Arabidopsis thaliana: one gene and its partners. The protein of the gene in region 1 interacts with the protein of each later gene in a pairwise test. Each region holds a gene or a part of one and is shown in the gene's direction. Other genes may lie near its edges.

Region 1 (5,503 bases):
CCGCGAGCCATCTTTTCTTCTTTACTAAGAAAATTTCTACATTATTTTAAGATTTTTCTTTTCCATGTAGTTGTCTCATACTTCCTTCGAAAAGATCTTTCTCTAACTTCAACCTTGGGGATCGAGCAACCATATTTCAATCAACAGATTCTTTCATCACTCTAATAACGGACAAAAAAAGAAAAGATGTCAAAAAAAAAAAAATTGGAATATGCACGTTGATACTATAAGTTCATTTAAATCAGTCGTTAGAGTAAACCTTATTGAGAGTTCAAATTCATTTAAAAACCTGATGAGATAATTATATAATTTCTTATAAGATTTTTTTTTCTTGTAAGAATTTAACGAATAGAATTTTTCTCTCTATTACTTAAAATTCCTCCTCGTCAAAAATTGCAAATGCTTGGCAGTTTTACCATTTTCTCAGAACTACCGTATGAGAAATAAAGTACGTATTAAAAAACAATACAAGCTTTAAAGATAAAAGAGGCAACAAATTTTTTTGACAAAAAAATTAGATGAAAAGAAGTGACGACAAATAACTGAGAAAACACGTTTTGCAAAACTAAAAAAAAAAAAAAAAAGAGAGAGTTGGAAAATGTTTGGAGCTGGTGGGCATTAGTTGGCTATGCAACGCACGGACGCGGATACTTTTCAACTCGTTGCTTACGCGGCCACGTTTTCGTCACAAACCGTGTTTCTTTTGCGGCCTTTTAAGTTTTAATCAAACATTTTTGTTTTCATTTGAATCTTTTTTTTAAGGCGGTTATACGAATAAAATCATTAAAAGGAGAAACGGGCCTTCATGTTTAGGTTTTTGTTCTTCCTCATTTGGGTTATTTAGCTTATTGGTTCAGCCCACAAGAGTTTCCTTCAATGGATAGGGCCTTCAGTTGCATGCCATCATCCTTTCTTGTTTCTCTATAAGCCATTTTTGCAATGAGAATTTCTCAATTTCTTATTTTTGCAATAAAATCATTTTGCCTTAGATGATGGTGGAATCATCCGTTTTTCTTTATTTTGACCCGGTGAGTAATTGAACGCAAAAAATAGTCCAATTATTCAAAACCTTACAATTTCATATCGCCATAATAAACCTAAACATGATTCGAGTGAGCAACTACATAAAAAGGGGAACGAAATGTTGGTACAAAACTGAATTCCAACCCAATCAAGTGCATACTAAACTATTGAGCAAAAACAAAGATAAAAATCAGTTCACCTACCCTAATTAAAACATGATTAGGCCTAAAAGACTATAAGTAAAGATAAAAAAGATGCCATTTTAGAGTACGTTTTGGTAAATTGGCGCCATCGTGTTATACGTTTAAACCGTATAACCTGAATCATGCAGCACGTGTACGGCTCACATTGGCCCAAGCTTGATTAACAAACAATAACGTCATTTTCGTATTTCAACAATTTTGATCGCTCAATCCTTTCGACCTAATTTCCATATTAAGTAATTTATTAGTTAAAACAACGGACTCAACCAAATTACATATTAAGAGAATATTTGAAAATTGTCTATGTAGATGAACATGTATTTGAAAATTGCGTAAGCACACTCTTTCTCTCTCTCTTTTTTTTTTTTTTTTTTCCCCCTCTTCTTTCTTTGAATAAAGATGACATTTTTTTCTGTTCCAAACACAAAACTGCATATTGATAGTGTTATTGAATACTCAACGTCTCTTCTTCCAGCTTACGTAAGTGGAACTTACTTTTTGCCCCGTGATCCAACAGAAAATGACGAATGCTCCCTCAAAATCATTTCGTTTCAACAAAAATATGTATTTTATCCATAGAGAAACAACAAACCTTACACTATATACCCTCTTTTAACGTGCCCACTTTTCATTATTTACACAATTTCCCCAACAAATTTAAAACAATTTACAAAAAGCACTCAACTTTCCTAAAGTAGATTCCTTTAGTCCAATGGAATTCTTACAACATCTTCTTCTTCGCCACCTTTTTCTCTCCACTTTAAGCTTTTTCACTCTCTCTACGCCACGACGACTGTGAAGCGAGAAATGGCTACTTCCGATCAAGATCGCCGTCACAGAGTCACTCGCAACCGTCCACCAATAGCTCGACCCTCTACTTCTTCATCTCGTCCCGTTGTATCTCCTCCTAGATCAAAAGTTTCGAAGCGTGTGCTTCTCCGTGTAGCTTCCGTCGCATGCGGGATTCAATTCGGATGGGCTCTTCAGCTTTCTCTCCTCACACCTTACGTTCAAGAGCTGGGGATCCCACACGCTTGGGCTAGTGTGATTTGGCTTTGCGGTCCTCTCTCTGGTTTGTTCGTGCAACCGCTCGTTGGGCATAGTAGCGATAGGTGTACTAGTAAGTACGGTCGTCGGAGACCGTTTATTGTCGCCGGAGCTGTGGCGATTTCTATCTCTGTTATGGTTATTGGTCATGCGGCGGATATTGGATGGGCATTTGGGGATAGAGAAGGGAAGATTAAGCCGAGGGCGATTGTTGCTTTTGTTTTAGGGTTTTGGATTCTTGATGTTGCTAATAATATGACTCAAGGTCCTTGTAGAGCTCTCCTTGCTGATCTTACTGGTAAAGTTCCTGACTTTAGTGTTGATTGGGTCTTCAATTTGAAATCATTCAAATGTAGTAAATTTGGGATTCTCGTGATTATACACTCACATGCAAAACATGAAAATGCATAAATTTGTGATTTTGGATACAATTTGGGGTTATATAATTACCTAATTGGTTCCTAACAATCAAAAGGTCCCTTCTTTGTTTCTGGTCGGTGGCTTATCGTTGAGTCACAGAGACTTTGTTTTTTCTCTTTCCCTTGAATCAAATTGTGGATTTTGGTGAAGTTAATCGTAGCCTACGATTGTGTGATAACCTCATGGAGTGAAAACAAAGATATGTTGTGTTTTAATTCTTGTCCTATTGCTTTATTTTCAGAGAATGATAATCGCAGAACCCGAGTTGCAAATGGCTACTTCTCTCTCTTTATGGCTGTTGGCAATGTTCTTGGCTATGCTACTGGATCATACAATGGTTGGTACAAGATCTTCACTTTTACGAAGACAGTTGCATGTAATGTGGAATGTGCCAATCTCAAGTCTGCCTTCTACATAGATGTTGTCTTTATTGCAATAACTACGATCCTAAGCGTCTCAGCGGCTCATGAGGTGCCACTTGCTTCATTGGCTTCTGAAGCACATGGGCAAACCAGTGGAACAGACGAAGCTTTTCTTTCTGAGATATTTGGAACTTTCAGATATTTTCCAGGAAATGTTTGGATAATCTTGCTTGTTACAGCATTGACATGGATTGGTTGGTTTCCATTTATTCTGTTTGATACTGATTGGATGGGTCGAGAGATCTATGGCGGTGAACCGAACATAGGGACTTCATATAGTGCTGGGGTCAGTATGGGTGCACTTGGTTTGATGTTGAATTCTGTTTTTCTTGGAATCACTTCTGTGCTCATGGAGAAACTTTGCAGAAAGTGGGGGGCTGGTTTTGTTTGGGGAATATCAAATATCTTAATGGCTATTTGCTTTCTTGGAATGATAATCACCTCATTTGTTGCGTCTCACCTTGGCTACATTGGCCATGAACAACCTCCTGCCAGCATCGTGTTTGCTGCTGTGTTAATCTTTACAATTCTGGGCATTCCATTGGCGGTAAGTTTACTCCTGTAATTCTGCTGTCATGTTACTTACACTATTACTTATGATATTTTGCCTGCTCATCTGTAACAACATGATGAAATTTATTTACGCTTTCGCTGTAACTAATGCTATTGCTACTCTTCTGCAGATAACTTACAGCGTCCCATATGCGTTGATTTCCATACGTATTGAATCCCTGGGCTTAGGTCAAGGTGTGCAGGCTTATCTTTGGGTGTTGTTTCTTATAAAAGTTCTGTTGTGTTGTTTCTTAGAAAAGTTCTGCTCAATGATTTTACTCTACATATGAGTGTTGTTTCTTATAAAAGTTCTGTTGTGGCAGGCTTATCTTTGGGTGTGCTAAATTTGGCGATAGTCATCCCACAGGTACACTTCTTTCAACCATCCTTTTAGCATTATATTTGCCGCAACTCAAAATCATATTCTTCTTTGAATGTTTCTGCCTGTAAAAGGAAGTCTATAAGCATAACATGCAGCAGAGTTACTGCATTATTTGTCAATTGTCATTAATAAACGATTCGTTTTTTTAGTTATGGTCATTGGCCAGTGATGAAAGTACACTTTTTATTTCTCTATATTAGTTGATTGATGAATTTCTTCCCTATGTTGGTTATGGTTTTTGGCATCAAACTCAAATTCTGTTGTTCAATCATTTATGTGTTTGCAGGTAATTGTGTCTGTTGGCAGTGGCCCATGGGATCAACTGTTTGGAGGTGGGAATTCACCGGCACTTGCAGTAGGAGCAGCTACAGGCTTCATTGGCGGAATTGTAGCTATCTTGGCTCTTCCACGGACAAGGATTCAGAAGCCCATCCCTCTCCCATGAGATTCTCTCTTTTGTTATATAAGGTAATAATGTCACAATTCTTTCACAAAAAGTACATAGTAAGCACTTAAGTTGTCACTGATTATTAAAAGCGGCTAATGCGAAATAGATGAGTGTCAAGCGAGGAACGCATAAGGGGAGTGCTTGGAAATGGCAAGGAGATGGAACACTTAATGTGATCCTTGTCGAAAATTCGTGCAATGGCTTCTCGTGTGACTAACTTATTTGCAGCTACTAGGACTTAATCCCCTCTACTTTGGGGACTATGATCCTTGTATACACGAGGCACCATAGAACCAATGAAAATAATACATCATTCAGTTTGTGAGGTATATGCATCTCTCCTTTATTGGAAGTTCCAGTTCGGGATCTTCTCTGTTTTTTTTGTTGTTGTTGTAAATTAATGTAAAAACCTGTGTACAACAGAGTGTTTGTAAGGGCCCCTGAGTTCTGTAACTGTTTATAAAGTTCATTTTCTTTAGAATTAGTTTGATAAAGAAAACCTGAGATCCAAAAAATTTACATGATCTGTGTAGCAAAAGTAGAAAGGAACCATTACGAGTACTAGTAGTCTCTATAGTAGCAGTAACCACCAATAGTCAGCAATAGATTAGGATGACTCTTGGGAATATTAAGACCATCTCCAATGGTTAAGAAGTAATTGGTTCTTAACCAAACATCTTAACAATTATTTATACTAAAATTTTGAAACATGACATGTAACTGTTTTTTTCACTCATGAAAACTTCTTAGCTAAGAAGCAAATCTTAGTTTTTAATTTATTTTGATTTAATTTTCAAAGTTTAATTCTAAAATATTATTCTAAGATACACCTAAGATAAACCATTGGAAGTGCTCTAAGCCTAGTAGGAAGGAATAGTAGCAAATCCCAGTTTTCTTCTTGAGTGAGATGTTTGAGATTGAAATTACTGTAATGCTATTGAGATTCTGTAGGCAGCGTATCAATAATTGAGAGAAATAAGTAGATGCTAATACAGCTTGAGCAATA
Region 2 (3,304 bases), 5.9 Mb from region 1:
TCTCATTGCAGCTGTTAAGAGTGGAAACCTTATTGTCTGGGCCATGAACTCGCATTGGAGGTACTCTCATCAGAGTTCATTACTCTTCTCTTAAAATAGTTGTCAGATCCTTCTTCTATTTGGAGCTATTGGATCATCATTGGAATTTTTGCTAATGTTCTTGTATCCTTAATTTGCAGTGGTCCTACCGAAGAATATGTTATACTCGCAAATCCTTGCATATCATCATGCATCATGGAACTGAAGAAGATACCAAAATGTCCTCATCTCGTTATTGGGCATAATGGTATAGGAGAATTTACAATATGGTATTTTGCTCCCTCTTTCTCTCTCTCCCTCTATCTTTAGAGTTTTTTTCTCTGCCCATCTCTTTGTTAAATTACAGAACACTATCCGTGCTAGGGAATGATGAGGAGCAGCCAACTTTGCTTGATCTTTTTCTTCCTGTCTCCATTGTTTCGGCCTGCTAACTTTGTTTATTATCGATTTAGGGATATCTCGAAGCGAAGCCTAGTATCAAGATTTGTATCTCCCAGCAATTTGATCTTTGAGTTCATTCCGACGAGCTTGTTTGCATGGCACCCTGTACATAGTCATTCTACAATCGAGGATAACGTTGACATGATTTTAGCTGCAACAAAATTATGGTTCTCAAAAGGGGTCAACAACAAAACATTGGTTCCAGCTGAAGTCAAAGACACTGCTATTTGGCTTTTAGTCTCTACTGATCTTGACTCAGATGCTAAATGTGACCGTGTAGAAAGTCCAGTTAGATGTTGGAGACTTGCTCTCCTTGTGAAAGACCAACTCATATTGGGAAGTCAGTTGGATCCGAGGTATTATCACACATCTCTTTCTTTACATGGATACTGTCTTTCTCAGGCTCCTCTGGTTTCTCCATGTTCCGAGAAATTAGTTTTGCTTTGGGGATTATATGAGAAGTAAATGGTATATGAATGGTAACATTTCTAAATCCATGGTTCATTGGCTATGGATTTGTGGTTTACAGGGCTGATGTTGCCGGTACAATATCTGGCCATGGAGTAGCAGGCACACTTGATGGACTTGTGTATATGTGGGACTTATCCACTGGCACTAAACTCGGCTCTCTCCATGATTTCAAAGGTATACACTGATTGAAGTTTTAACTAGATATATCCATGAAAATAACGAAGTCAATTCTCAAAAGTTAATATTGTTACATGGATTTTGTCAGGTCAAAGAGTTTCATGCATCAGTACTGATGATTCCAGAAATATATGCATAGCAAGTGAAGATGGTCAGCTCCTAGTTTATTGCCATCCGGAAAAGTAAACTCAAAATCAATCAAGGAGGGTAACAACAAAAAGATGTTTTGCCAAAATGACTTCAATTGGCTTGGTTACATTTTTAAGTCAACTAAGTTTTTATGCTTGTAAACTTTTACCATATGGCTTACAAGTTGAGAATTTTCTAATCTAGTTAAAAAAAATTGTACGAAGATGTAAATGATAAATGATGATAAATAAATCTTTTATGTATATTCGTTGCTACAACTTACAAGGCATTTCTGATTTCTCAGTAATTTTTTATTCCATTTTTGCTAATTTTCCAAAAAGGAATTAAGAATATGAAATTATAAATAATTAAATTAAACGACGTCGTTGCTGAGAGGGCTCTAGCTCTTATTATCTTTCTCCTCTAGTCTGCTCATCTTTTCGCGTGGTCGACCAAACCTAAAACCCCCAAAAAGAGAAAAATCAAAGACCATTCGCTATTTCGCTCGCTACTCAGTTTCAGAAGAAGATGCCGACACTCACAAAGCTTTATTCCATGGAAGAAGCCGCAACTCACAACAAGCAAGATGACTGCTGGGTCGTCATCGACGGCAAGGTCTACTCTTTTTCTCAATCTTCTAATTTCAATCCTTGTTCATGTGTTTGTGAATCCTGAAGTTTCCTTCGCTTTCAGAAACCATATCTGTGTCTTGTTGCCTATAGAATCTAATGAAGAATCTTGTAATTGCTGTTTATATGTAGTTAGATTGAGCTAATCAGAATCTTCTTCCTCTTTTTTTTTGTTGATAATGTGTTGACTTCACAATCTTGGTCCCCAAGAAAATGATATGGCTGATGCGTTCTCTTTACAGGTCTATGATGTATCCTCTTATATGGATGAGCATCCTGGAGGAGATGATGTGCTTCTTGCTGTCGCAGGTAAGCTTCTTCTTCTTCCTCTTGCCCATCCTTGCTAAATGACTGATCTGTTGTTGTCTCTACTCTAATCCAAGTAAATGTGATGATGTTGTTGTTGAAGGCAAAGATGCAACGGATGATTTTGAAGACGCAGGGCACAGCAAAGATGCTAGGGAACTTATGGAGAAGTATTTTATTGGCGAGCTAGATGAATCTTCTTTACCGGAAATACCTGAGCTTAAGATCTACAAGAAGGACCAGCCACAAGACTCTGTTCAGAAGCTTTTTGACTTGACAAAGCAGTATTGGGTTGTTCCTGTCTCCATTATCACCATCTCTGTAGCGGTTAGTGTCTTGTTCTCTCGCAAGACTTAATAAGTAGTAGTCTCTTTCTTACCTTGATATGCTCTGGGATATTGAATTACTTGGGGAATCAACTTTACACCCCCATTATAGATTTTTTGAATAACAGATATGATAGAGAGATAATTGTTATTTTTCATTTTTATCAGATTTTGAGTTGAGATCATGTTTCAATACACTTATTATCGATATGATTATATATGATTAATGGATGGTTTGGTTTGCTGGTATCAATCTTTTTATTAGAAGAAGTCTTTGCATATCGTCCCTTTTGGTAGCAGATAACCTCGCAAAGCCGACGTTATCTATATAGCATTGATATTATGTAGTATCTGTCGATTTGATTCAGAAAGACCAAAAACATGTACCAAAATATCTTCCTTGCTTGTCCTTTTAGTATATGTAACTGAGAGAGTATGAGACACTGGTGGATCTATGATCATATAGCGATGAGAATATATTAGTTAGGATTGGAAATCCCAATTCCTGAAAGTTGGTAGCTCTATCTCTAGGTTCCAGTTGAGAAAGCCACTTCTTTGTAGAATTTCTTTGCTTTGTATTGGTACATGAGATCTCCTCTCAAGTTCATGCAATTATAGGACCTGATGTATCGCTAATTGCTTCTGAATTGAAATTGTCCACGGTCTATAAGACCAGCCAGTACCAAAAAGGGAATCCTGCAGGTTAGATCTTGTTGGTTCTGGCTTCTGTTGATGATAATGCTGGTGGTATTATGGTCTGCGTCAGCTTTGTCTAATTCTTGCAAC
Region 3 (3,532 bases), on another chromosome or scaffold:
GTAAAGAGATAAGAGTGTTTTGAATCTTGAATATCAAATTATTATTAACAAGAAACTGACAAAAAGATGAGACAGTGTTCATTGAGAAGATCTCTGTTGTTTTATCTTTTTTTTTACATTTCTTGGAAATTGGCAAAACCAGTGTGATGAAACTGTGAAATCTTATCTCGAACCCAATCATTGTTCTATGTTTTTCTTTAATCTCTAAAAGTGAAAAAGTGAATGCATGAAACGTTCAGATACATTCATTATATTATACATTTATACATATGGACATGGTGTACGTATGTACACGGGTGCTTGTTTGATCACGGGCTCACTGACTATAAAAATCATGTTTTTTGGGACATATAGATTCGCTTACATCAACTGTGTGACCAATGGGGTATCTGAATTCAGCTTGTTCGATGTTTTGTTTGACTCTTTTAAACTATTTGGTAGTAAAAAGCCAAAAAGGAAGAGCACTGATTACGAAAGCCTTTTTGTCTTTTTGTTTCTTCTTCTCTAGCTCTCTTTCGTTCTCCTTTTGGGTTAGTCCTTCAAAATAAATGTCTTTAACTTGTCATGTATAGTTTCTTTCTCTCGTTGAACACCAACCATAGGCCTTGCAATGTGAGTCAAAACATGCATTGAAAAAAGAAGTGAATTTCAACATTAAATGCTCTCGTTTAACATGCCTATGGTTCCATTAAGCAAAGTACACACTCTATATATGTCGAAAGAACTATACAGTCGGTGTTTTAGCCCTATAGTTAGATACATTCGAACTGATTACAGAAATATCAAATATCCAGTTCTAAGATCGGATTAAGGCAAATACATTTAAACTACTTCTAGCGAATGAGGTTCACATAGAAAAACTTTTTAAAATGAATCACTAAACAAGATTCATTTTCTTTCTAAATAGTGTAAAGACGAGTGATGCATGCAACTGCTCTCCTTTCCGTTGGTCCCTTGTCAAAATATACGACCGTGAATAATTCTTCCCATCATATTTATCTGTCGGAGAGTTCCAACCTCAAAACATTCTCCTTCTCTTATCAATTCTTTCTAAAATCATAAACCAACAAACTGGGCCTATGATCAATTATTCATATTCAATTTAGCCTATAACTAAAACCACACTGCTTTCGTTACACTGGCCTTCCGACAAGTCTCTTTGACTGTTTTTATCTTAAGCGCCATCAAGTTTTAAAGAAGACAACCCCATATCTTTCCTCCCATGAATCATCGTGTCCATATTGCTATAGTTCATGAAAAAACTAAATACTATCGACAACTGAAGAAAAGATCCGGATCTTGTGGACCGAGTGAATGGTTGGGCCCAATTAGAATGGTCTACCCTAACATCTAGCCGTCTACACGATTGATCATACGTCTAAGAGGGCGAAACCACCAAACGTTTGGATTTTATCTAAATTGATGTACATAAAGCTAACATGATTTTAGTATAAACATTATAAGCATCATGGAAATCAATAAGCTAACATGATTTTAGTAGAAACATTATCAGCTAACATGAATTACTAAAAACATTTATTTTATTTTAAGGAAAAACATACAATACTAAGATTTTTTATAACATTTTTTCTTTGTAACATTATAAATTGTTTTAGTTTCTACATTAATTAAATATATAAAATAAATTCATTTAAATAATATAAGAAAACGGAATCTTTGATTAACTGCTGATTATTGGCCACTGATTAATTTCCGACCCCATCAATAGATGAGATCAGACATACACAACTTAAGTAGACCAAAAAAGCGGTTGGTGTAAGATCCCAAACTCACAGATTCCCAAATAATAGTAATACTCTTCCTCTTCTCAACTCTCACCAGTCACCAGCAGATCATCGGAGATGGGCGGAGACGGAAAAGTTTTCACCTTGTCCGAGGTTTCTCAGCACAGTAGCGCCAAGGATTGTTGGATCGTCATCGACGGCAAGGTCCTACATCTCCGATCCCAGTTTCTCATTCGATTTTCCGTTTTCCCTTAGATTTTGCATCTTATCTTCGTGAGATCCGAAATTCTTGAGTTGTGTTGACTTGGATTTATAAATCTAGAGTTATGTAGTAACAAGTTTGGGGATAGATCTGATCTGATTTGCTAGATTAATGTTACTTTTCTAAGTCTAAATCACAGAGAAATTGCTAAAAACTTACGTCTTTATAATTGAATGTGATAGTTGGTGCTGCTTAAGATGTCTCTGTGTGATCTTGTATCTGTAGTTAAAGCTAGTAAGGTTCATGTAGTTCATGTATGTTCTGATGTATGAACTTTTGATAACCCACTTAATCTAGGTCTCTGATTGTGTGGAATTAGGGACTTATATGACAAAGTTTACATTTTTTGTGTGTTTCATTTTGATGGTTATATATAGGTTTATGATGTGACAAAGTTCTTGGATGATCATCCTGGTGGTGATGAGGTTATCTTGACTTCTACAGGTAACATATAGAGATCACTTTCTCTGTTTGTTAGTTCATGTTTATGTTAACAAGAATGTGTTGTTGGTATTCAGGGAAAGATGCGACCGATGATTTCGAGGATGTGGGACATAGTTCGACTGCGAAAGCCATGCTAGATGAGTACTATGTGGGTGATATTGACACAGCTACTGTGCCGGTTAAAGCTAAGTTTGTGCCTCCTACGTCGACGAAAGCCGTGGCTACTCAGGATAAGAGCTCGGATTTTGTTATTAAGCTCCTTCAGTTCCTTGTTCCACTTCTAATCTTAGGCTTGGCTTTCGGCATTCGGTACTACACTAAGACCAAGGCTCCTTCTTCTTGAAAGATTGAATTGTGGCCTAAGTGAATTGCTTGTGTACGACGTGGTTAAACTCTGTCTCTACCTCTGTTTGTCTTGTAAGACATCATTATATTCTCTATTCCAATCAACTGATAGACCTTTGATTTTTAAGCCATCTACCTTTGTTGTCTTATATCAATCAAATCCATTTACAATATCACTCACACACCAGTCTCAAGTCTCACTTAAAAAGCAGCAACAGGTAAGAGAAAATGATAAACACTGAGCTAATCTGTGCTTGCGCAAGTTCTCTCCATCAGTACCTTTGAATCTGTTCTGAAAGACTGCTTTGATGGAGAGCTTGATCCTCTTGAAGAGCTATGCCCAAAGAAGCTAAGTTTCCCCATTTTCTTTGAGAAACTGCTCATGAATTTGCGCGAATGAGACCTCTGCATATCTCTCTTCATACATATATGTTCTTTCTCTAGGTCGTTGAGTCTCATTCTCAACCTAGCTAACTCGAGCTTCAGTTCTCGGTTTTCTCTCCTCAGAGACGCATAGTTGTCTTTGGGGGACATTGTTGCACTGAGAGCTCCGCTATTGATTCTCCATGACTGCTGTTGTTGCTGCTTTGGCTTTGGCTCTTCGTCTGAGTAAGAAGAGCACAAGGAGCTTCGAAGCTTGAGTTGCTCAAAGTAGAGAACTTGAACTATGGATTGCAGAGGAAGCCGCTCGTTTTGTGCAGCGTGTGCTCCAGCTTCTTGTGAGAGTTTCTGGAAG
Region 4 (3,789 bases), on another chromosome or scaffold:
AGTTTTATGATCATCATGAAGATGTCGGGGTACGTATTCTAATCAGTTCTATTGAGTACATTTTTATGATCCTCGGGTTGATTTACCAATAGAGAAGATTATATAGACATATGACATGCATATGCTTCAATTGTTCGTGTGCGTTTACGTTGATTTGATTAGTATATTCAAATGAATCCAAAATTTTAAAATCTTTAAACTAGTTTAATTGTTATTGTAGAAATAAGTTAACTAAAATGGAAGGATTATACGTTCACTAATCTACAAAAATTTGGGTTTTCTTTCAAAATATGACTTTAAAGACATATAAATGCAGAAATTGCATTTGAGTCAATCGAGATCGTCATTTTTTTTTCTGTCGACAATTAAGGCCATTATACGCAAAGAAATAAGTACATAAAATAAGTACATAAAATTATATCTTCTTGACTCTTGATATTGAATTTCTTGAGATCTTTCGTATTAGAATCTGTACGTACAGGCCGATACTGATCACTTTGGCTCGATCAAAACCGCTGAAACGCCAGCTGTCACGGCGGCAGCCGAGGCCGAGATAGAGCCACAGAAGAAGAGGACAACACTTGCGGAGCTTTTCATGGAGGACCACGACAAAGGTTATGACACGTGGCATTGCAAGAAACCCAATAACCCTAATCTTGACGGTGAGGAGGTTAAGTACTATAAACAAAACGGTTCAAAACTAAGCAAGAGGTTCTCGTTTGTTAAGAAGAAGCTGGTCATGTCAAAGTCCAAAGAGGAAGAAAACGACTTACGTCCAATCAAGAAAATGCGTCAGGTATTTAAATTTGTTTTAGTCAATTCCGTAACTATGAAACATTGATGATGATGGATATATGAACATGTTACATGTGCCTCTATAGCTCAAGGGAAACAATGTCACGTCAAGATCTAGATAATTATTCGTGCATGTTACAATTACATCACTTTTGTTGCTTCATAAGTGTACTCATATGTGAGTAAATATTCATTCGATGTCAACAAGTATAGCATCATTATATATGTGTATATATTACTGTAGATGATAAAGAGGATGTTGAAGAAGAAGATCCATCCAGATGTCGATGCAACTAAGGCTTTAAAGAAGGACGTTCCATACAAGCCAACTCGGAACTGTGAAGCTCTCGAGTCACATTATCTTCTTAAAATTCAAGGTTTGTATTTCTTAATTATTTTGGTTTAGGGGTTCGATATGATTTATTTCTTTCATTTGCTCGTATATATATGCTTTGTGGACAGATTGCGTGGCCTAGAAGTCTAAGAACGACGACATCGTACAAGAGCAATCTCTGGATCTATTGTTCTACTCCCTATAATATATGTGATTTTTTTGTTCTTATTTCAGAATGTGTTGGTATTGTTATGACTGTTGAGATGTATTGCTTTCTTCTTACAAACATTACTAAGTTGTTAGTATTTGTTCCTGTTATGCATATTGTATTTTATTACTATGTCATATGTTTTCTTATTTATACGTATATCAATGCATCGTTCTAAAATCGTGGATTGTCGTGAATCTGTGATAGTATTCCATCATGTCTGCTATAGCTTGGTCAGTTTTGAAGAAATTTCAAACCTAAAGTCATAAACTGATAAAGGACTAAATTATCCTACTCAAAACAGAAAGCCCTTTTGTGCGTTATTGGGCCTAATCAGAAAAGTGATTTTGAAAAAGGGCCTAATCAGAAAAGTGATTTTGAGGCTTTTTAAAAGTTTAAAGTAAACAAAAGAAAATTGAGGCTTGACTTTTCTTTCTTTTTTTGACTTGTTTTCTTTTTTCCTTTTTCTTATAAGAGAAAACTAAAACGTGAAAGAGCTTCACCAACCTGAGGTCGCTGACCACTTGGAGGCATTCTCAGCTACCAATCCATTAACTTACAAACTCCATATTCTTCACGTTTTACTATGGTAGGTACCTTTTTTTAACCTTGTTCGTAATAACAATTTTATACGAAAAGAATAGTATTAAACTTCAACAAAAACAACTATGTATATTAACTGGTCAGATATACATTGCTTTGTTCCCTTACATCTTCAAAGAGCTAAGATTAAACTATTTACCCCAAATAAGACTGTAATTTCATCAAAATCTAGTAATAATAATATTCAACAGCTTACAATATAAACATAACGCGTGTGGTCTCCATAAGCTACGCACTGTCTTTTCATCGGTTCGTAGAAACTAGAAACTCTTCCCCTCACGATCTTGCTTTCTTTATTTTGCTTCAACCCTAGTTTATTTGAAGTCTCTATATAAAGTTCTCTGTTTCAAGTTACTTTCTCAGCACGAGCAACCAAAAGTAATCATATGGCGAATCTAATTTCGTTTCACGATGTGGCTAAACATAAGTGCAAGAACGATTGTTGGATTCTCATCCATGGAAAGGTCCATATTTCTACTTTCTTTAAATCACGTAAACAAATTTATAGATTATAAATGCTCTGTTTTTTTAGCTTTATACTTGTTTCTAAACACATGTTTATCCACAGGTCTATGACATCAGCACTTTCATGGACGAACATCCCGGAGGTGACAATGTTCTCCTCGCCGTCACCGGTACGTACGAGTACGAGTTGGTTTATTCCGGTTTAGTTTGAATTTATCGGTTTGTAATTTTGTGAGTTTTTATGAAAATTTAAAGGGAAAGACGCGTCGATCGATTTCGAAGATGTGAACCATAGCAAAGATGCCAAGGAGCTAATGAAGAAATACTGTATCGGTGACGTTGACCAGTCAACGGTTCCGGTGACGCAACAGTATATTCCGCCGTGGGAGAAGGAATCTACGGCGGCGGAAACAACTAAAGAAGAATCTGGAAAGAAGCTGCTTATCTACTTAATTCCTCTCTTGATACTCGGCGTTGCTTTCGCTCTCAGATTCTACAACAACAAGTAGACCAAATTATGATGAACAGATTGATAAGAGTTTCTTACTGTTCTTGGTTTTCGTTTGTTGGTAATAACGGGCTTCTTATGTGAAGATTTGGGCCATTTGGCCCATCGCTCAGAATTGGACTATAATGTCTTATTTATTTTATGTTAATGGGCCGTATCAGTAGGCCCTTTGTTGATATATGCCAATCCCAATTTCTTCTAGCATGAGCTTTGTGTTATTTACTTGATTTTGATAAAACAACCAACTTATGCAGTAGATTCCATTTGACGAAAAAAAATAAAAATAAAAATGCAGTAGATTCCATTAAATTCGTACTTAATAATAAAAATGGGTGAGGGCATACTTACAAAGAAGGAATGTGTGTCAGTGTGTGTCAAAAATATGACACAGACACAGAATTATTTTTAGCAAAAACGTTCCACATAATTTCAACCTTTATACTGTCGGTTATTTTTTGCCACTTTAAAGACACAGAATTCAATGTGTCATAAAAAAGGACACAAAGAAATGAAGAATGTTGGTTTTTAATTTACTAATTCGAGAGGGGATTTATTAATCAAATTTCGAAATGTAATGTTAGTATTTCTATATTATATTACTAGAAGACGATTAAAAATATGAGAATATTTTTCTTAAGTAAAGTTTTTTTTTCTTTTTTAAACCGTGTAATGTTAATTGTTTGGTAAAACAAACCAAACATTCGTGTTTCTATGCAACTTATTAAACAAGTGATTGTTATTATATATAATAAAAAAAAACGTTTCCGGAGTGATAGTAGACTTGCAAAGATCGTTCACCAGAATCTTGGAAACTAAATTTTATAGTTTAATATCCTGTTGCGTTTTTTTTTTTTTTTTTAATTTATCCTGTTGCAG

What was found.
Region 2: the proteins of SUT4 (region 1) and CB5-A interact in a two-hybrid assay, tested with the Arabidopsis thaliana proteins (one study listed by BioGRID).
Region 3: the proteins of SUT4 (region 1) and CB5-D interact in a two-hybrid assay, tested with the Arabidopsis thaliana proteins (one study listed by BioGRID).
Region 4: the proteins of SUT4 (region 1) and CB5-C interact in a two-hybrid assay, tested with the Arabidopsis thaliana proteins (one study listed by BioGRID).

Annotation. Positions count from the first base shown.
Region 1 is NC_003070.9:3,242,225-3,247,727, forward strand, and holds SUT4 (sucrose transporter 4), read left to right. Parts: upstream 1-1,761; 5' UTR 1,762-2,033; coding exon 2,034-2,571; intron 2,572-2,934; coding exon 2,935-3,662; intron 3,663-3,798; coding exon 3,799-3,862; intron 3,863-3,990; coding exon 3,991-4,034; intron 4,035-4,335; coding exon 4,336-4,494; 3' UTR 4,495-4,517; intron 4,518-4,603; 3' UTR 4,604-4,992; downstream 4,993-5,503. UniProt on the Arabidopsis thaliana protein: Responsible for the transport of sucrose into the cell, with the concomitant uptake of protons (symport system). Can also transport maltose at a lesser rate. May also transport biotin.
Region 2 is NC_003070.9:9,112,207-9,115,510, forward strand, and holds CB5-A (cytochrome B5), read left to right. Parts: upstream 1-1,657; 5' UTR 1,658-1,785; coding exon 1,786-1,872; intron 1,873-2,128; coding exon 2,129-2,195; intron 2,196-2,295; coding exon 2,296-2,549; 3' UTR 2,550-2,771; downstream 2,772-3,304. Other genes in the region: AT1G26330 (DNA binding protein), read left to right, coding at 1-60, 180-308, 492-836, 1,010-1,125, 1,217-1,314.
Region 3 is NC_003076.8:19,788,511-19,792,042, reverse strand, and holds CB5-D (cytochrome B5), read left to right. Parts: upstream 1-1,670; 5' UTR 1,671-1,862; coding exon 1,863-1,949; exon of another isoform or gene 1,950-2,384; coding exon 2,385-2,451; intron 2,452-2,525; coding exon 2,526-2,794; 3' UTR 2,795-2,976; downstream 2,977-3,532. Other genes in the region: AT5G48800 (Phototropic-responsive NPH3 family protein), read right to left, coding at 3,040-3,532. UniProt on the Arabidopsis thaliana protein: Membrane bound hemoprotein which function as an electron carrier for several membrane bound oxygenases, including fatty acid desaturases.
Region 4 is NC_003071.7:19,149,481-19,153,269, forward strand, and holds CB5-C (cytochrome B5), read left to right. Parts: upstream 1-2,000; 5' UTR 2,001-2,326; coding exon 2,327-2,404; intron 2,405-2,508; coding exon 2,509-2,575; intron 2,576-2,660; coding exon 2,661-2,914; 3' UTR 2,915-3,259; downstream 3,260-3,789. Other genes in the region: AT2G46640 (NAD-dependent protein deacetylase HST1-like protein), read left to right, coding at 1-29, 467-796, 1,040-1,201. UniProt on the Arabidopsis thaliana protein: Membrane bound hemoprotein which function as an electron carrier for several membrane bound oxygenases, including fatty acid desaturases.